Linked DNA regions of Kluyveromyces lactis. The protein of the gene in region 1 interacts with the protein of each later gene in a biochemical or structural test. Links are inferred from orthologs where the notes say so. Each region holds a gene or a part of one and is shown in the gene's direction. Other genes may lie near its edges. The genes, in order: RAD6, UBR1, RAD18 and UBA1.

The links.
Region 2: the proteins of RAD6 (region 1) and UBR1 form a complex in vitro, tested with the Saccharomyces cerevisiae proteins (10 studies listed by BioGRID, with this or other methods). The link is inferred for Kluyveromyces lactis from reciprocal best matches to the Saccharomyces cerevisiae genes RAD6 and UBR1.
Region 3: the proteins of RAD6 (region 1) and RAD18 form a complex in vitro, tested with the Saccharomyces cerevisiae proteins (12 studies listed by BioGRID, with this or other methods). The link is inferred for Kluyveromyces lactis from reciprocal best matches to the Saccharomyces cerevisiae genes RAD6 and RAD18.
Region 4: of the proteins of RAD6 (region 1) and UBA1, one has a biochemical effect on the other in vitro, tested with the Saccharomyces cerevisiae proteins (6 studies listed by BioGRID, with this or other methods). The link is inferred for Kluyveromyces lactis from reciprocal best matches to the Saccharomyces cerevisiae genes RAD6 and UBA1.

Annotation. Positions count from the first base shown.
Region 1 is NC_006039.1:502,156-506,374, reverse strand, and holds RAD6 (E2 ubiquitin-conjugating protein RAD6), read left to right. Parts: upstream 1-2,396; coding exon 2,397-2,891; downstream 2,892-4,219. Other genes in the region: protein kinase PKP2, read left to right, coding at 386-1,807; KLLA0_C05610g (uncharacterized protein), read right to left, coding at 3,080-3,631; KLLA0_C05588g (uncharacterized protein), read right to left, coding at 4,197-4,219. UniProt on the Saccharomyces cerevisiae protein: E2 ubiquitin-conjugating enzyme that accepts ubiquitin from the ubiquitin-activating enzyme E1 and transfers it to a E3 ubiquitin-protein ligase.
Region 2 is NC_006042.1:1,412,281-1,418,052, reverse strand, and holds the start of UBR1 (E3 ubiquitin-protein ligase UBR1), read left to right. Parts: upstream 1-1,759; coding exon 1,760-5,772. Other genes in the region: putative ubiquitin-protein ligase UBR2, read right to left, coding at 1-838. UniProt on the Saccharomyces cerevisiae protein: Ubiquitin ligase protein which is a component of the N-end rule pathway. Recognizes and binds to proteins bearing specific N-terminal residues that are destabilizing according to the N-end rule, leading to their ubiquitination and subsequent degradation.
Region 3 is NC_006039.1:764,658-769,403, reverse strand, and holds RAD18 (E3 ubiquitin-protein ligase RAD18), read left to right. Parts: upstream 1-2,273; coding exon 2,274-3,557; downstream 3,558-4,746. Other genes in the region: HCM1 (Hcm1p), read left to right, coding at 101-1,762; GTPase-activating protein SED4, read right to left, coding at 3,903-4,746. UniProt on the Saccharomyces cerevisiae protein: E3 RING-finger protein, member of the UBC2/RAD6 epistasis group. Associates to the E2 ubiquitin conjugating enzyme UBC2/RAD6 to form the UBC2-RAD18 ubiquitin ligase complex involved in postreplicative repair (PRR) of damaged DNA.
Region 4 is NC_006038.1:1,251,999-1,258,035, reverse strand, and holds UBA1 (E1 ubiquitin-activating protein UBA1), read left to right. Parts: upstream 1-2,380; coding exon 2,381-5,440; downstream 5,441-6,037. Other genes in the region: HOC1 (alpha-1,6-mannosyltransferase), read right to left, coding at 1-1,043; Ran GTPase-binding protein MOG1, read right to left, coding at 1,253-1,846; ATP-binding cassette a-factor transporter STE6, read right to left, coding at 5,567-6,037.

The DNA of each region.
Region 1 (4,219 bases):
CTTAGTTCAATGAATAGAACACACCAAATATCGTACGGTTATCTACCACCTTGTAGGTTATAATGTAATTTAATATTCAAATATATTGAAGGAGTTGTTGATCTAACTTAAATTATAATAAAATCTATTAGAAAACACATAATCAGAAGTATTCGCAAATTCCGTTAATTTCAATCAATTGATATTTGGTTTTAGTTTTGATTTGGGTTTTTCATGCCAAACCAAAAGAAAAATAAACCTTTCAAAGGGAACTTTACAAGATGAAATAAAGGAATTGGAGTAAAGATGAGATGAGTCAAAAATGATCAACTGTATACGGAAGGAGCAAAAATTGATTCACCATTAATACAACACTATCCAATTTAATTCATCACACCATTCTGTCATGTCACGGAATAGCGTTGTAAGGAAAGTATTGGATATATCGCAGGTGCCTGATTTTTCGCGGTATTCTGCAACGAGGTCCATCAATGAGCTTGCACCCTACATTTCCAGCACTTTAAGCGCATATCCCACAGAATCAAAATATATCAACCAGTACCATTACTACCATAATGATAATGTCTTGGTTAAGAAGTATTTGCAGAAGAAACCACATCCAATGTCGTTGAAACAGTTGGCGCAGTATTACGATGACTCAAGTAAGTTAACGAAGATGAAAATTATTTCTTCTGGGAAATTTGTGAAAGAGGAGCTATGTGTTCGTATCGCACATAAATTAGACCTATTGCAAAACTTGCCTTTCGATGTAGTGAATAATTTCCATTTCAATCAGGTGTATGAATCATATTATAACATCTTTGAAAGGTTCAGAAAGTTCCCGGAGATCAAGGACGAGAAGGACAATTTGAAGTTTTGTCAGTTTCTACATGCGATTTTATCAGATTTCAACTCTTTGAACTTGCCTCATTTGATTATGGGTGCTTTGGAATGTAGAATCCTGGATTTGTACCCTCAGGATAAAATGGATGCATTGATTTCGGATTTATTGAGAGCCCGGATTAGTAGAAGGTTGATCGTAGAAGAACATTTGAGTATCACATCCAATTATTTAAGTGGAAAGAAGGAAAACACACTTGTTTTGGGAGATATTTTCCAAAAATGTAACGCCAAGGAGTACTTGAACGGTGCGAGGGAAGTATGTGAGGCATACATCAATAATATGTATTTTGCGGGCATCAAGATGCCCGAATTGATTATCAACGGGGACACTGAACTAGAATTCTATTTCCTACCATCGCATCTAAAGTTCCTATTGGGAGAAATCTTAAGAAACAGCTACGAAGTGACTGTCAAGGAGACCATACGATTGGGACTAGAAAAGGCACCTCCGGTGACAGTAACTATAATATCGAATGACCAAAGTTATCTTTTCAGAATCAGTGATAGAGGTGGTGGAGTGCCACATTCTGATAAGCAGATATGGTCCTTTGGTAAATCAAAAGAGCTAGCCAAGCAATCCCTAGACAACTTCCATCACTTGCCTGGATTGCAGACTTTGTCGTTATATGATTCTTCTAACGGTGCTCATCTAAAATCAGATCGTTACAGACAAACATCGCTAGATCGGATGTCAGAAAACAATTTGACGAAAGGTAAATTTAAAGTTGGACAACCGCTAATGGAGCTTCTCAAACGATCTCCCAGATATAAACTTGGAATTGGTCTCGCACTATGCAAAGTATATGCCGAATATTGGAACGGTGATTTGACCGTACATTCTATTCAAGGTTACGGTACCGATACCGTTCTCAAACTAGGAAATTTGATGAGGCATACGGACAAATTGCAATTGGATAGAGTTTAGTAAACCAAGTTAGCAATGCTTATAGTAATGTATAGTAACCACTCTATATACCGATATTTACTTATTTATATCATCATTCGATGACTTATGGTCGTTTGGCATAGGAAAGCGTTTTATTATTACCCGCACAAATAGATTTCGCCACATTTCGAAAGAAAGTTGAAATAGATACAGGATGCGTTTGGAATAACTATTGGACTAAACGAAAGGTGCCAGTGGTTAAAGACACGGCAAGTAGTGTTCTGTGTGTTTGATTATTTGTTACTGGAGCTACTTTCGTTAAGAAATATACTATTGTGGTTCTTTAAAATTGATTTTACTGAATTGAGATTTCCTGTAGAAATAAGAGACGCCGATTACGAATAATTATTAAGAACTTGTCTCTGGTTGAACAATTAGTGGGATATAGCAGAGGATAGTCTTACAACTGGGAAACCGAAATATTATAGGAACCACTGACGTTTGTTAAACATTGTCATTGTACTGATAGAAATTAATCATTGAATATTGGTTAAACGAAATTATAGCCACTTTTCAAGAACCCTGTTTAAGTGTTAAGGGAATAAGTTTTAAGAAAGAATACTACAATATGTCTACGCCAGCTAGGAGGAGGTTGATGAGAGACTTCAAAAGAATGAAAGAAGACTCGCCACCAGGCGTATCTGCGTCGCCGCTACCTGATAATGTGATGATCTGGAATGCAATGATTATCGGCCCCGCAGATACGCCGTATGAAGATGGAACGTTTAGATTATTACTAGAATTCGATGAAGAATATCCAAATAAACCGCCGCACGTCAAATTCTTGAGTGAGATGTTCCATCCTAACGTGTATGCCAATGGTGAGATTTGCTTGGACATTCTTCAGAATAGATGGACTCCGACATATGACGTTGCATCGATTCTAACGTCAATTCAGTCGTTATTTAATGATCCCAATCCTGCATCGCCTGCTAACGTTGAAGCAGCAACTTTATTCCAGGATCACAAATCTCAGTACGTGAAACGTGTGAAAGAGACCGTAGAAAAGTCATGGGAAGATGATATGGAAGACATGGCAGACGAAGACGAAGATGAAGAATGATAATCGAAATTGATTAGATCCAATTTCTTAAACCGGAGTATTCCTTGTGAGCGAGAAGCATCCAAGTAACACGAAATATATATATATATATATATATATATATACGCATACAAATATCTACATAATAATCTCAACCCGTTACCGCTTTAATCAAAATGACAAATTGTCATATCCATGCGAATAGTTCTTTATACAAGGAATGCTGTGAGAGTGATCATCGAGGCGAATACGCCCACTGATATTGTTAGCGGATCTAGTTGTCTCTTTTTCTTTTCCCATTCGATTCTGTCACTTGAACAAATCGGTATAGGTGTCACCACCTTAGGAACATCGCTTTGATTGGAACTTACCTTAGCATTCGCATTCCACTGAATGTCATTAGGTTTTACCTTATTGAACTCTTTCCGCGGACCCCAAGTTCCAAACCCCAAAAGATACCACACTCGTTTTTCGTCATCGGTTAAAAATTTCCAAGGCAGCGGTGCCTTTGCATCAAGATGGTGTTTTAGTACGTTAATATCATTGGAAGTCCAGGTGTCAAAGGGCACATTTGTCAATGTTATACTGGTCAGAAGAGGCTTCAGTTGTTCGTATTGTTCTTCTAAAGTTGTCTCATCGAAATTATCTGAAAGTGTGAATTGTGATATTAAAGCACCTAATGTTGGGGTTGGTGCTTGAGTTGCCGGAGAAAGACGTCTGGCTTGACGTAGCAGTAAAGACTTGGGTACCGGACGTGGCATCTCCTTCTTAATTGGTGCTTTATAAGTTTGTGCTGCCGTTTTTCCCCTTCCTTAATCATTCAAACATCAGTATATCCAAAAGTATAATGTAAGCTTAAATATTCATTTTTCTTCGTCAAGATCAAATTGGTAATTGATAATGGGTAAAGCTAACTAACTCCAGAATGCTTTTGTAGAGAAGAGGGAATAATGGACTACCTGTTGTTTGAATCTGTACAACATGAATTTCTGGTTCGTCCCATAGTCCTAATTATGATCTACTGTTACAATATAATATCTAAAACTATAATATAGTGTACCTAAATAAGAACGAGCCTATTCGATGAAAAGATAAAAGGGAGGAAAGATGAAATTAAATGTACATGCGAAGTTAACCACAACTGCCTAAAGAGAAGTAGTAATAAATCACGATAAATATTGCTGGTGAATAATGTTCCTGTTAGAAAAGAGAATATGGCTCACCAAGGCCAAAAAAGGGGATCCGATAGGAATAGAAGTTAAGAAGAAGTGATTATAGGTACGATTGATTTTTGACTCTGGTGAAAAAATTATAATCACATATGTATCATACGATGCTTCCTCTTTGTC
Region 2 (5,772 bases), on another chromosome or scaffold:
CGGCAATAACGGTGAAATGCTCATCTTGATCAAACTGTGAGAGTACGAACGTACCAAACGAGATATCCTTCTTCAATGCCCTTGAAATTTTCCTTGCAACATCTTGCACATGTATGTTACATTCATGCTGGTATAAGACGAGAACATACTTTTGTGAAAATGATTCTACATTTCCTACAGAGTCTTTGATCGGTATGGACTCCACAGCTTCATGTTTTATCTTCTCATCGCCATCCATCCAAGCAAAACAACAGTCAATAATAAAATCGAGTACCTGCGAGAACGTTGAAATCCACATATCGTTGTACAGTTGTAGGTTCGTAACATCAATATCTGCATTGTTACTCTGTATCCTACATTGAAAAGCCTTCTTGGGATCATTATAGCTAGATATGTCGCCGCAATGGCATACTTTCCCCTCTGGCCGCGTCACTACGCGTGATGTATATCGGTGGCCTATGTGCTGACTCTCATCAAAACAATCTTCACAAATTTCATACAACGGATTTTTTGTACAATCAAAGCAGTAGTAAACGGTCTCAGTGCCATGGCACTGTTTCGAACACTGCGAACCTCGATGATCGTTATGTTTCCTTTTCGGTATGAGTGACTCACGCCAGTTAGATCTCAATTTGATCTTCCCAAAATCGCCCATTTCCCACTGATTTAACCCAAAAACATGAGTAAGATCTTCCCAGTTTATTTCCTCATTACAATGGTTCATACAGGTGAGTAGAACCTTCCAAAGGTAAAACGAACACATATCATTGTATCTGTACCTGCAGAAATGAGCAAAGTGAACCAAAAAATCACGCAGACATCGCACTGATTCGCCCATCTTAAATGGACTCGCTAAAAAGAATACCTGCTTCTTTCTGGTCTTGGCTTGCTAGTCATTCAAACCTAAAATGAACACTATTAACAGAGCAAAAACAAGAAGCGCGCCCCTTGATATAACGTGCATCCATTTATCTATTTACTATTTACATTTTTAAGCTTGTCTTACTTTCAGTTTTTCGTTTCAGCAAGTATTCGAGGCATTTGCCACCTTTAAACATTAGTACGAAGAGCACAAAAAAGAATATCTTAGGATACCTGATGTAAAATCACAATGGAGTTAGCATCAGTTGGGTAGTGTCTATGGAGTGTATAGAGGGACTATTATTGTAAATATTTTGATGTTTGACCGTGGTCACATGACCGAATATCAGTCACGTGACTTACTTTTGAACCAAAAGTCAGGGATTTATAGGGCTGACGACTTTGAAACAGGCGAGCTTCTTTGGATCGAGACGTTGAACTGCAGCTGGAATCCTAACTTAATCGTAGTTTTTTTTATTTATATAACTTCGCTAAATTGTGTGCTGAGAACAACGTTGGATTACAAATCGAAGACATGAAAGAAATGCTTTATTTAGATTATTTTGACAACCTATTTGAAGAAGAAGGTATTGATGGTCAGTGTACCACTTGCTACCAAACATAACCTGCTTATTAAATGATTCAATTGTGTTTATGGAACCGAAATGATTATTTCTAGGGTACTTCTTACACTTTGCTTCGGTCAAATTCCACATACATTGAGAGGATTCATTTTTATCTTCTGAAAGATTCAATAAAAAAAAAAGGAATACGATATCAGAAAAGAGTTTTGACTTTCCTTGCCAATGCACAGTTGACAAAGGTTCAATACAGGTTGATTTGTCGTATAAACAACTGATCATCAACATAGCAATATCAGAACAATCCCTAAGGTAATATGATTAACGATACTGACCCAGAGTCGTTTTTGCGGCAACATGTTGGACGAACCTTAGGCTGCATTCATTCTCGGCCTGAATTCAAAGATATAAAGGGATCTGCAGAGAGAGCAGTTATGGATAAAGAGCTCAAGAGTTTCATATATGGGTATTATTACTATATGATTTCAGACAGTGGTAGGCTTCTTCCGCATATGTTTACTGCTACAAATGAGCGTGAATTCCCCAAGAATGTCGACCAAGCAATGGAAATCAAGCTGAGTTCGAAACCCTGGTATAAGATCGATGAGAATGGCGGGCATTCGAAATTCAACCACGCTGGCAGAATATGTGGTGCGAAGTTTAGAGTAGGCGAACCGATCTACCGTTGTAAGGAGTGTTCATTTGATGATACTTGTGTGCTATGTGTAAACTGTTTCAATCCAAAGGATCACGTTGGTCATCACGTATATACGTCGATCTGCACAGAATTCAATAACGGTATATGTGATTGTGGTGACAAGGAGGCATGGAACCATGAATTGAACTGTAAAGGTGCTGAAGATAATGGTCGTTTGGAAGACGAGTTTGACGACCATGATGGCAAGATTTCTAAGATGCTAGAAAGCGTCCTAATAGAATTATTTGATCATTTCATCGATGTCTTCAACCAAAACATTGAGCCATTAACAACAATTCAAAAACCACTCATTGCGAAACTTAGATACTTCATCCAGAACGGGAAATATAATGAACAAGCTGACATGCTGAGGCGATTGGCATATAGAAATCAATACATGGACGAAGAGGAGTCCCAGCAACAAACGCCATCTACATCGTTAGATCCCTTGAGTACACTTAAAGATTATGCTATTTTGGTATACAACGATGAATTTCATAACTATTCGCAGGCTTCTGCTGCCATTAGACAAGGTGGGCCTGATAACAAACATATTGATTTATTGACTGCGAAGATCGATTCTGAGGGGAGATCATTGTTGAGATGCAGCGCTGATATCGCATCTTTAATGGGAGGATTCTTTTCCGTTCAAAGTAACGGGTTGAGCTGCACAATAACTCAATGGTATGAATATCTACATCAAGAAGCCTGTAAGTATAGCATAATGTGGATTAATGATTGTTTGAATATCCCAAACTCTACTTTCCAAAGCCTTTTCAGAAATGCTATAGGCAAAGTTCTATGTTCCAAGTACGAACCTTTTTATCAGTCTATCGATATGACCTCAGTTGTTAGAGATTACTTTTCAGATAGTTACCTGAGTGATGATCCATATTTGTATGCGGATCATTCGGTTTTGGGTGAAGGTGTCAAGATCCCTCTTGGAAGACATAAATCCCTAGATCCTGGAGACATATCTGCTATTTCCCCCATCTTGAATAAAGTAATAGCAGAAGATCATCATGAATATACTAATTCTAGGTTGCAATACGTGTTGTTCCTCGAAAACAGGTACTGGAAGAAGCTTAGAAAAATAGTTCAGGATCTAATTATACCAACACTAGCATCAAGTGCTGTGCACAAACCAATGTTTACTGATCAGCTAGTCGAAATTTTCCCACACATGACACGAAGTGTGACCTTCATGGATCGTGAACCTCAACTTACATCATTAAGGGAGAGTGTCGTTCAGTTATTCACCTGCCCAACTACGGCTTACAGTATTTTTCACAGTGGACATTTCAACTACGTCATATGGTCAGTGATTGACGTTTTTGTTGACTTTTCTACCATGGATGAGGGCACGTTGGTTTGGCAACGGGTTCAGAGAAGTAACCCTTCTAAAAGCTACAGTATATCATTCAAACAAGGATTGTATGCTGTAGAAACTTTACTCAGTAAAATCACTGACCCTAATCTATTGTTGAAACCGGGAGAGTTTATCATGATTGTAACACTATGTAAACTCTTCAACGGCGCATGGAAGATTAAAAGAAAGGAAGGAGAGCATGTTTTAAGGGAAGACCAGCATTTTATTCCATATTTGGAGTATACGACATCAGTCTATAGCATCATTCAGACTTTTGATAAAGTTTTGCAGCAATCAAAGGATCACATTGACCAGCGATTGCTTATTGGGGCCATCAACTTATTGGATTCATTTTTGGGACATAGAAACTTGTCATACAAATTATACAAAGACTTTGAAATCATAAAATTCCAAATCAGCAAAGAACGAGTTTCATTTATGAATCCCGTTCATACTTTGTTTTCTTTCCTTGTGCAGCATGTTCCCTTACAGGTGTCAATTCAAGTTTTATCTCAATCCAAAGACTATCTAGTTATTTCGGATTTTGCTTTGAGATCTGTCGTCTTATGTTCGCAAATCGATATAGGATTTTGGGTTAGAAATGGTATGTCAGTTCTTCACCAGTCAGCATATTACAAGAACAATCCTGAAATGAGCTCCTATAGCAGAGACATACAACTTAATCAATTGGCGTTTCTAATTGAAAAAAACGATTTTCAAAGAGTCATCTATAACATGTTAGATAGGTGGGAATTACTTGACTGGTTTGATGGAAGTGTTCCCTCGACAGAGACAGTGTACGATGATAAAATATCGTCGATTATTCAACAATTCGTTGCATTCCTATATCAGATATTGGTGGAAAGAGACTTTTATAAAAAGTTCGATACCCTGGAAGAAACACAATTGTACAACATTAAGAATGCCATTATTTATAAACTATACGCTGAACCACTATCATACACTGACTTATTGAACGATATACCCGATTACCTTACTGAAAGTGTTTCCCAATTTGATACAGTTCTCGAAGAAGTTTCTACGTACATTGAGCCCAAAGGGCTCGAAGATAATGGTGTTTTCAAACTAAAGAAGGAACTCTACAAGAGAATAGATTCCCTGCGGTTACTGAATATGGGAAATGATTTTGAACATAGTGCCACGATTGTTAAGTCACATTTAGCTGATAGCAAGGAAAAACGGGCCAAAATAATTGTCAAACCCCAATTACTTGAATTAGATGAATTAGACCCATGTGCGCGAGAACTAGGAAGCTTCACAAGAACAAATCTCTTTGCGAAGTTGATATTCAAGCTATTAAAGTTGGCTGTCTCCGATTCCAGTTTTTCGTTTACTTACGAGCTACTTCATTTAATTCATGCCATTTTTAGAGACGACGAAATGGTCAATGGTAAAGATTCTTTGCCAGAGGCGTATATTAGCAAACCAATATGTGATTTGTTATTGAGCATTGTTGACTCTGAAAGCGGATCGTTTTCTGAGAATGTCGTGGCAACTGCTGATTACCTTCTAGATAACATGATCATGAAGCGCCCAACGGCAGTTTTAGAATCTCTAACAGAGTGTTTCGGAACAAAGTACATCGCGGACTACAAAATCAGAAAAGCAAATCAAGGTGTAAATTTCGAGGAGACAGAGCAGGAGCGTAAAAGAAGGTTAGCCAAAAATCGTCAACAACAGATTATGAATAGATTCTCCCGTCAGCAGAAAAAATTCATGGACAAGCACGAGGAGTACAGTGCTGGTAATGACGAAGATGTGGATATGGACGGAGAAGATCTGGCAGGAGAACTCAATGAATTTCACTGCTCTCTTTGTCATGACGATGTGTCAGATGATTTTTTTGTTATCCCAATTTATCAAAACTACTCTCCTGTCTTTCTATCGTCCAACCCTACGCCAATGGAAATATACAAACCATGGCATGGCTTTGACAATAACGAACACCTCGCCACTTATAACACAGATTTGTTTTACAAGAAAAAAGAAAACGGAGCTAGTCAACTAATGCATGAGTCTACACAGAAGGTTCTTGTATCTTGTAATCATGCCGTGCACTATCGCTGTTTCAAACATTATATTGATAAGAAGCGGTATAGTACAGATCTCTTCATCTGCCCATTATGTCAAACGTATTGTAATTCAGTCATACCTGTCGATACAGTTAAACTTCAATCTGGTGATAGGCTTTTGCAACAGAAATTGACTGGAGGCTTGGATGAATCTTTATTGCTAACTTTTTC
Region 3 (4,746 bases), about 260 kb from region 1:
CTGAAGTCAACGAAATTAATCAGACTAATAAGAAGCGTCAAAGAAGAAAAGATAAAATTAATTTCATTTACGCGACTTTGTTATAAACAGTTCTGGAAATATGAGTAGAACGGAGACTCAAAGGCAACCTTTGAAGGATGTAGCATTAAACAGGAAAAAGCTGCATTCGGAAGCAGCAGCGGTGTGGAATGAGAAAGATGCAGAGCAGTATGAATTGGACCAGGGTGCATTGACCCCTCCACATTCATTCACTCATCGGTCTAGTATATCAGAATCGAGGACGCCTAACTACAAAATGAGGAAAATCAACCCATTGTCACCAGAGTTGTCTTCACCAATTAAACCGCAGCGCGCCAAGAGAATGAAAAGTGATCAAGGTCGCTCTAGTGGAGTCAATACGGTAGAAGAGTTTTTGGAACATTTATCTGATGATTCGCGCGTTGTTGTCTTGCAAGATCCAAATAAGAAACCGCCTTATTCTTATGCAATGATGATTGTTCTTTCGATATTGCAATCAGATACCGGTAAGCTAACACTTTCCCAAATATATTATTGGATATCCTCTCATTTCCCCTATTATAAGCGAGAAGATGCTGGTTGGCAGAATTCTATTAGGCACAACTTGTCTTTGAACGAAGCGTTTGTTAAAGGTGGTAAATCTTTGGACGGGAAGGGACATTTCTGGGAAATTAAACCTGGGTATGAATCCAAGTTCTTCAAAAATGATGAAAGTTTTTCCATTGATGATTTTAAGGTAAAGCTACAAAGATTCAAGAGTGTGAATTTGGATGATGGTTATGAAGCTGGCAGTACCACGTCCAGTTTTAATGGATCATCAATTGCCTCGTACAATAAGTCGAAAAGGAAAAATAAGTCATTTTCAATTTCTACCATGGATGACAAATCGAGTGATATTGGTGACGCGGGTGATACTTCCTTGGATCAAAGCAGTGACGGTGACGAAGAATCAACTTCAATAACCAATATACCTTCATCGCCACGATTAGGTGATCACGCCGAAGCTGCTGGTCATGGAAGCCATCAGTTTCCGGCTACGGATAAAGACTTCCTGTATTACGAAGATGAAAATATGGTCAAAAGACAAGACTCTAGTCATCTGGTGGGCCCGTTGAAATTTAACCATCGCTCTGTCAGTGCACATAACCATGAATATGATGATTTAATGGTTGCTGCCGTCTCTTCTCCTAAATTCAAAAAATATTCGTGTTCTTTCAACACATCATTTGAACCCGTATCTCCGATGAACAAGCTGCAGCTGCCATCAGTTAACCAGCAAAATTCAAAGACACCTATTAGGGAAAGCTCTGTCACTCCTCTGAAATTCAATATTTTTTCAACACCTAAAGATTTCAATAAAGATGGTCTGAACCCACCGGCGTCTACCAGAACTTGGCAAAGCCCGTCTCGTCTATTTGAAGATTATTATGCGTCATCACCAGTGTTTTTCAGAAACGTAATCAATCAATCTATAGATGATTGTATGATACAGTATGACACAGAAAAGAAATGTATTGATTCTCCCCGAAAGTTGAGTCTCAGAGATCAAACTTCTCCCAAGGAATCCAGTCAATCAGGATTAATTGATCACTCCAAATATTCATCAAACATTCTTTTTGGTGTTGATGTTTGTTCAGTGTGGAAAAGGGCGATTGCTCATTGTAACAGCAATGATGAAGTAGATAGCTATCGAGAAGAGGTAACAAAAAACGATTTGGACCCTCCTTTTGATGGGATGAACTAATGTTTGCTTTCTTTTTCATATAGAGTCTGTCGTTATCTCGATGACCATATTTTTTGTTTTTCTTCACAATCTGCCTGACGCTTGGGTTTCTTTATATGGCTGAGTTATTTGTCTCCTTTATTTCTTTCAATTTATTTCATTCCTGCGTTCAATTATTGTAGTGTACGCGCCTTTCTTTTATTCATTGGTGTCCTTTTTAAAGTATTTTTATTTGCAATAGTTATTGCTAATGTATGTATCATTATATCAATCATATTTAATTCTTACATTTCCTTCTAACCGATATTTACAATCAAAGGATATTATCCTGATAGACCATATGGCTTTGTTATTTGATCTGACTTCGTTTCATCGTTGTTTAATTAGCTCTGAATAGTGCTTCAATATTATGCCATACTTTGTAAATTACTAAAATACGATAAAAAGAAGCTAAAAGCAGATAATCCGAGTTACCTTCTGAAAAGTATCAAACATTAAATGCTGGAGTGCAGAGGAATCAACCAGAACTGTCATGAAGCTAAGTGTACCTGAAACTATATCGAATCCTCGTGATTTTCTTCACACGAGTGTTCCGCAACTTACTGACCTCGATTCACTTCTTCGATGTCATATCTGCAAAGATTTTTTAAAGGCATCGGTCTTGACGCCATGCGGTCATAGTTTCTGTTCCATTTGCATAAGAAAGTACCTTCAGAAAGAGAGCAAATGCCCATTATGTCTCAGTGACCTCACTGAGTCTATGCTACAAAAAGAGTTTCTAGTACAAGAGATTTGTTCAAGTTACGTGAAACTGCGAGGTTCTTTGCAGAAACACTTGACAATATCATCTCAGGAAGAGGAAAAAGATAATGAAATAATAATATCTGACGAGGCAGATACATCTGTAGGTACAAAGAGGGGTACTCCAGATAGCCCATCTTTATCTTCAGTAAGTACTAAAAAGAGAAAACATGATGGTATAACAACGTTGTTAATGAAAAAGAAAACGGATCATCCACAGCGGCAAGAGAAGAAGGCACAATGTCCTATATGCTCCAAGCACCTGCCGCTTTCAGAATTAGAAGGTTCGCATATTGATGAGTGTTTGAACAAAGGTAGTAGTTTGGAGAGATCGGATTCTTTTGAGATTTTGGATGAACGTACACCCTCCCCTTCGATGGAATCTTCGCATCAACCACTAGAAGAGAAGACTAGCCTGCCGTCTTCACATTTGCTAGAGGTAAAAGAAAAGAAGGATATCACGTACCATAACGAGAGGTACTTAAATTCTGGGCTGCTGCAGCAAAAGGAAAATAGATTACCAAGATTGGATTTTCAGTCTTTATCTATGACACAATTGAAACAGAAGCTTGCTTCTTTGGCTCTACCATCAAATGGCACCAAACAGCAAATGGTAGCGCGATACAAGCATTACGAAATGTTATGGAATAGTAATTTTTTAGATTCAATTGATCCTGTTGACGAAAATGAACTTAAACGTCGTCTATCCAGTTGGGAAGCTAAGCACAATACAGACCATTCTTCTGATAGCAATAGCATAACTAACCTTCTCAGGGGTAATAAACGTACTAATGCTATAAGTGCCATGATCAAACTTTTTAAAAGCGATAGATTTGATAGAAAAGGTTGGATGAGACATCACACGTCAACGTTTAAAGCATTAAAATTGGAAGCACAACGTTCCGATAAACTTGCAAAGATGAAGAAGGAAGAGCTCTCCCAGAAGAGTGATGCGAACTCAGAAGTAAGTTCGGAACCTATACTAAAGATTGATCAAACGTCAGAGAATAATTAATAGAATCTAATATTCTCAACTTTTCATTATTTATCGTATATCAGTATATAGTATCTATAATTCATCTTGAATGATGTCAGGAGATTCATTAAGGATATCTTCTCTTCCCTCTAAATTGCGACCTCCAGATTGCGATGGGGCTGATTGTACTCTTGTTTCCTCGACATTGCTATCACTTTGGGCACCCATAATATTTTCTTCGATTTCAGCGTTGGTAGGGTTTAATTCAGTGTCCAATATGTCCGAAGAGATTACAGGTGACTCAAAAGCTTCTATTGATTCAATATTACCGACAGCCTTAAGCTCGTTTAAGTCTGCAGCTGCAATTGAATCATCCATCGCCGATTATGAACTTCCCGATGTTGTTAATTCTTCGGAAACAGTAACTATGAATTCGCTTTCCTGATCCGCTGTTTTGGTAATGGAGGAAGAAATAGTAGTGCTGGATGAGAAGCTCGATTTAGCTTCTGTATCCTTTTCGGCAGATGAAATGTCTGATTCTTCGAGTTCTGTTTTATCAGTGGCTACAGACAGTTCAATTTCTGTCACAACGACTGTAGATGTGACAAGTTCTACGTCAAGGTTAGACTTTATTTGATCGATATGCGTAGCGGTATCTTCTTCCGCTTGTAATGAGGTACCTGGATAATGATCTTCTGATTGGACTTCATGAGCGACGTAGATATGATCTTCACTTGCAATTTCTGACTCAACAGATTCAAGTTCCTCTGCAACACTTGATGCCAATATTTCCGTTGCTGTTGCAGTGTCGCTTACATTGTCTTTGGTGTACAGTGATGGCTCGGACTCATCTTCAACGAGCAGTGATGTAGTTTCTACGGTTTCTGTATTCGATGTCTCTTCTATCAATTCGGATAAAGAGGAAACGTTGTCAATATCATCATCAGAGAATTCGCTAAATGAGATGGATGCTTCGACAGAAGATGTAGCTTCTGTTGTATCACTCACCATTAGTAGTTCTGAAGATGTTTCTGTCTGCTTTTCATCATCTTGTTCAATAGCATTAGACTCTTCAGAGGTTGTGATAACCAATAGTGTTTCAGAAGTGGCTTCTGTGTCTAATTCTTCCGAAGATTGCTCTGTTGACAGTTCAGCTTCATTTTCGATTCCAAAATCATTCTCTTCATCGTCAGTTCTATTCTCAGTGACCTTCTCCGCTATAATGTCT
Region 4 (6,037 bases), on another chromosome or scaffold:
CCGACCAGTTTGGGTACCTTTAAGTTATGGAAATGTTTCCAAGTGATCTTGTCTAAAACACCACTTTGAACGTAATCGTTGAAATAGGTGAATATTACGTCGGTCCAAGCACCAGTTCCGGTCCAGCCCATAATGGTCAGATCGTTTCTTAGGTTCATGTTAAGTTCATCAGCGTATTTTTTTTCCAATGTAGTCTCAGTGACCCTTGCGACCATTTCACGGATCACTGGATGGCCTGGCTTGGCTTGTACGACCCAATTGCCAAATTGCAATCTTCTCAAATAAGAAGATCTCCAATCAGGAGTCTTCGAGTCGTGTTCAATACCAATAATCAACCCGATTTCCTTTGGAGACACGTTCTCTGGGATCCAATTGGGTACTGGTTGCAACAGATCAGTGTCGACATCTGCCCAGACACCACCACGCGCCAGCAAGATGAGGTACTTAAAGAAATCGATCTTTAAGATCGACGTAGGCAAAGAATCATAAGCTTCTATCACTTCAGGAACTGTAGCATAGAAACCATGCACAAACGCCGCAGCAGTATCGTCGTTGACAATCTCGTGAACGAAACCAGGGTTTTTATTAGCCCAGTTCCGTTCGTATTTTTTCAATGTAGGATCCAACCTGTCATCGTCATCGGAATACGGCCAACTTTGCCAAACAAAAGCGGGGAATCTCTGAGTGGTACCGTACTCAAACACAACGGCCAACTTCTCTCTCAAAGTCGCATGTCTGGCAGGTTGCTTCAACGCTTGAATCTTCTTCTCCAAGACTTTCCTCTCTCTATCAAACCTTCTTGCCTGATCGTCCTGTTTCTTTAGCATATCCTGGCTCAATTTCTCAAATTTCTCCATAATTTTACGGTCTGATTGCTCGGAAGAACCCATATTAATCTCCTTAGGTAAATTCTGTAATAGTGTCTGCAAATCTGCAGCAGTCGTACTGTAGTTAAGCATCTTGAAAAGAACCACCACTGCAAACACCAACGGAATTGCAATGGTGGCTATCCTTCTCCAGTTATTTCTCTTGCCCTTGGCCATCTTCACACGGATAGCGCAAGTTATGAACCACTAATCAACACCAGGGCTCCCGCTCGTAGTGATATACCGTTGAGAGTCTAGCTGATGGAGGAATAAGTATGTATTGTTTATCATTGATAATACCATTTCCATAGTTGAAACACTCATTCTTAAAGAAATTCATTACCCGGATATATAATTTACTATACTTTTACTATACCTGGTTTCGATCATGCAAATAACGATGGATCCTCCACTTTGAAGCTCGAGATCATGTCCCGAAGCAACGAATAGGACGCGTGCACCCTTTGAGGTAGCTTTTCCGGTGAGTTTTGCGCAATTGCCTGTTCCATGGCCTTCAGTTCTTGTTCCGATGAGATAGGCACGTGAACAGAAATGATGACGTCGGTATCGAATTGATCCAACCTGAGCAATGCAACACACATTACTACGGTTTCCTTCATCGATTGTTTGCCCCACTTGTATGCGGTCTCAACAACGATACATGTCTGTGATTTGAGTTCCGTTTGCTCTTGATGGTCAATTACTGTCCATTTCTGTGATCCGTTGAGTTCTGAAATTTCTGCCAAATGGATATCTAACGCTTTTCTGTCATTATTCTCTTCCACACGCTGCATTAGGTCTACGATCACACTTTCATCGAACCCGAGCCCATCCTCACTAGGTTCATTCTCACGTCTGCTATTCACGAACACTTCCTGTGTGTCTGGTACTTGCCTTAGCATTGAAGCATCAAGAAACGTCTTGGGAATGACGGTGCTGATGGCACCGCCGTACAATTCTTGTCTGATCCAATGGGACATGGAAAATTAGATATATAGGGTTGTCAGACTGTGGGTAGAGTAAACAATCGCGCTGTCCTTGCCAGTCGAAGTCTCTCCCTCTCTCTTTATCTCTTGAGAAGGACATCTCGTCTTCAAGGTAAGGGAAAATCAAATATCACATTTGACGAACATTCAAATATTATGTGGTGTGCTGGTGTAAATGCATTTATTGTATGCAATGATGGCTTCAAGCATGCCAAATGGGTTTAAATCAAGTGATTACTGTCTCGTATTAATTAATTATTTACGAAACAATTTATATGGGCTCTTGGAACCATACTATCACCTCAAATGCTTCACTTTCTGTCGTATTGTATTCGAACATCTTCCATTCATATCACGTGACTGAAAACTCAACCACTCACGTGACCGAACCCAAAGTGGCAAAAACCGAATTAATAAGGCCAACAACCTATAAACAACTACAAACCAGTTTCCTTAAAACAACAATAGCAACAAGAAGTGAACCGTTCGTTCATTTTGATCACATTGCATCACAAGTTAGTATCAGATATGACGAATATTAAGGTTGATGGCGAAGAAATTGACGAGAGCTTGTACTCTCGTCAATTGTACGTATTAGGTAAAGAAGCGATGTTAAAGATGCAACATTCGAACGTTTTGATCATTGGGTTAAAAGGTTTAGGTGTCGAGATTGCCAAGAACGTTGTCTTGGCCGGTGTTAAGTCTTTAACCCTTTATGATCCAAGCGCTGTCGCTTTACAGGATCTTTCTACGCAGTTTTTCCTGTCAGAACAAGATATTGGGCAAGCTAGAGATAAAGTATCACAGGCAAAATTAGCCGAATTAAACTCATACGTGCCAGTGAAGGTGCTAGAGGGGCTAGAAGACGTGTCACAATTGTCTGAATTCCAAGTAGTTGTTGTGACAGACACGATTTCACTAGAAGAAAAGGTGAAGTTGAATGAGTATACACACTCTCACGGTATCGGTTTCATTTCTACGGAGACCCGTGGGTTATTTGGTAACGTTTTCGTCGATTTAGGTGAAGAATTTACCGTTATTGATACTACTGGTGAAGAGCCAAAGACAGGTATTGTTTCTGATATCGAGTCGGATGGTACAGTGACCATGTTGGACGATAACAGACATGGGTTAGAAGATGGCAATTACGTCAAATTCTCCGAGGTGGAAGGTCTTGAGAAGTTGAATGATGGTACTCCTTACAAGGTCGAGGTGTTGGGTCCGTTCGCATTCAAGATTGGTTCTGTTAAGGATCTTGGTACATACAAGAAAGGTGGTCTGTTCACCGAGGTCAAGATGCCACAGAAATTAACGTTCAAGTCTTTAAGGGAATCTTTGGCAACACCAGAGTTCCTGTACTCGGATTTCGCCAAATTCGAGACTACTGCACAATTACACTTGGGTTTCCAGGCCCTACATCAGTTCCAAGTTAGACATCAAGGTGAATTGCCAAGGCCATTTTATGAAGAAGATTCTAATGAATTAGTTAAACTCGTTATAGATTTAGCTACACAACAACCTGAAGTGCTGGGTTCTGAGGGGAAAGTTGATGAAAAGCTCATCACAGAACTAGCTAACCAAGCAAGAGGTGATATTCCAGGTATCGTTGCTTTCTTCGGTGGTCTGGTTGCTCAAGAAGTGTTAAAGGCCTCCTCCGGTAAGTTCACTCCTATTAAACAGTACATGTATTTCGATTCCATCGAATCTCTACCAGATTCTGAAGATTTCCCAAGAAATGCAGATACCACGAAACCAATCAACTCTCGTTACGATAACCAAATTTCCGTATTCGGTTTGGAATTCCAAAAGAGAATCGCAAATTTGAAGGTATTCCTAGTGGGTTCAGGTGCGATCGGTTGTGAGATGCTCAAGAATTGGGCTTTACTAGGTTTGGCTTCTGGCCCTGAAGGTAAAATTATTGTTACCGACAATGACTCAATTGAAAAGTCGAATTTGAATCGTCAATTCTTGTTCAGACCAAAGGATGTCGGCAGAAATAAATCTGAAGTTGCTGCTGATGCTGTAAGTGCAATGAATCCTGATTTGAAGGGCAAGATCGAGCCAAAGATTGACAAAGTTGGTGCTGAAACAGAGAATATTTTCAACGATGCTTTTTGGAATCAATTAGACTTCGTTACCAACGCATTGGATAATGTGGATGCTCGTACCTATGTCGACCGTCGTTGTGTGTTCTACAAGAAACCTTTACTAGAATCGGGAACATTGGGGACAAAGGGTAATACACAAGTGGTTATCCCTAACCTGACAGAATCTTATTCATCTTCAAGAGACCCTCCTGAAAAGTCAATCCCATTGTGTACATTGCGTTCATTCCCTAATAAGATTGATCACACTATCGCTTGGGCCAAATCCCTATTCCAAGGCTACTTCTCTGACGCAGCTGAAAATGTTAACCTATACTTGACGCAACCAAACTTCGTAGAACAAACTTTGAAACAAGCCCCAGATGCCAAAGGTATCTTAGAATCAATTAGTGATTGTCTAAACAATAGACCTTACAACTTTGAAGATTGTGTCAAATGGGCAAGATTAGAATTTGAAAAGAAGTTTAGTTATGATATCCAACAGTTTCTTTACAACTTCCCTAAGGATGCAACAACATCCACCGGGGAGCCATTCTGGTCTGGTCCAAAGCGTGCCCCTGAACCATTAGTCTTCAATATCGAAAACCCAGATCACTTCCACTTCATCGTTGCATCTGCTAACTTGCGTGCGTTCAATTATGGTCTAAAGGGAGATGATGGTAAACCAGACATTAACTACTATCAATCCGTCCTATCAAAGCTTATAGTTCCTGAATTTATTCCAAAAGCTGACATCAAAATTCAAACCAATGACGATGAACCAGATCCAAACGCGAACAACCAGCTTGGTGGCGATGTCTTAGAAAACTTGGCAGCTTCTTTGCCAGATGCTTCTACCTTAGCTGGTTTCCAACTAATCCCAGTTGAATTTGAAAAGGATGACGATACAAACCATCATATTGAGTTCATTACTGCTGCATCGAACAACCGTGCTCTAAACTACTCTATCGAACCAGCTGATCGTCAAAAGACTAAGTTCATTGCTGGCCGTATCATTCCTGCCATCGCTACAACCACTGCTTTGGTTACAGGATTGGTCAACCTAGAACTATACAAAGTCGTCGCTGGAAAGACAGATATTGAACAATACAAGAACGGGTTTGTGAATTTAGCTCTTCCATTTTTCGGTTTCTCAGAACCAATCGCATCACAAAAGGGTAAATACAATGATAAGACTTTCGATAAAATATGGGATAGATTCGATATTCAAGGTGATATCACATTAAGAGAGTTGATTGATCACTTCAACAAGGAAGAAGGATTGGAAATTACAATGGTCTCCTACGATGTTTCTTTACTATACGCATCATTCTTCCCTCCAAAAAAACTAAAGGATAGAATGGATCTTCCAATAACTGAGGTTGTAAAATTAGTCACGAAGAAGGAAATCCTCAGTCACGTTAAGACCATGATTTTGGAATTCTGTTGTGAAGATAAGGAAGGTGAAGACGTGGAGGTTCCATATGTCACCGTCCATTTGTAATGATTCTAATTTTGTCTGATACCAGATGTAAATTCGTAATTCTATCTCTATGATGCTAGGCTTAATGATATAAACTTACTTAGAAGAAATCATACATGTGAATCAATCGTTATTTAAAATCCTCTGTTAATATCTAGTGCACGAAACTATCCGGTATAGTTCGCCTCTAGATTCGAAGAGCTCTGCATAGGATCCCTCTTCTTTAACTTTCCCTTTTTTCAAAACAAGAACCCTATCGCAAATTTGCATCAATTGCTCTGAATGAGTAATAACAATCACCGTAACATTCTTCAGAACAGTCCTGATGAGCTCTGCAATTGCAAATGAATTAGCTGCATCCAGTGCAGATGTGCATTCATCTAGTATGATGATTTTCGGCTGGCGTAACAACGTGCGGGCGATAGATAATCGTTGGGCTTGACCTCCGGACATTAACCCATCATGAACGCGCGTATTCAAGTCATTCGGTAGGGTTTGTACAAATGATAGTAAATCAACTGACTTTAAAACTGATCTTAATTCAGAGTTTGAAACGTTACGTTTGAGACCATATACCAGGTTTTCTCTTACTGTACCATCAAAGAATTTTGGCTTCTG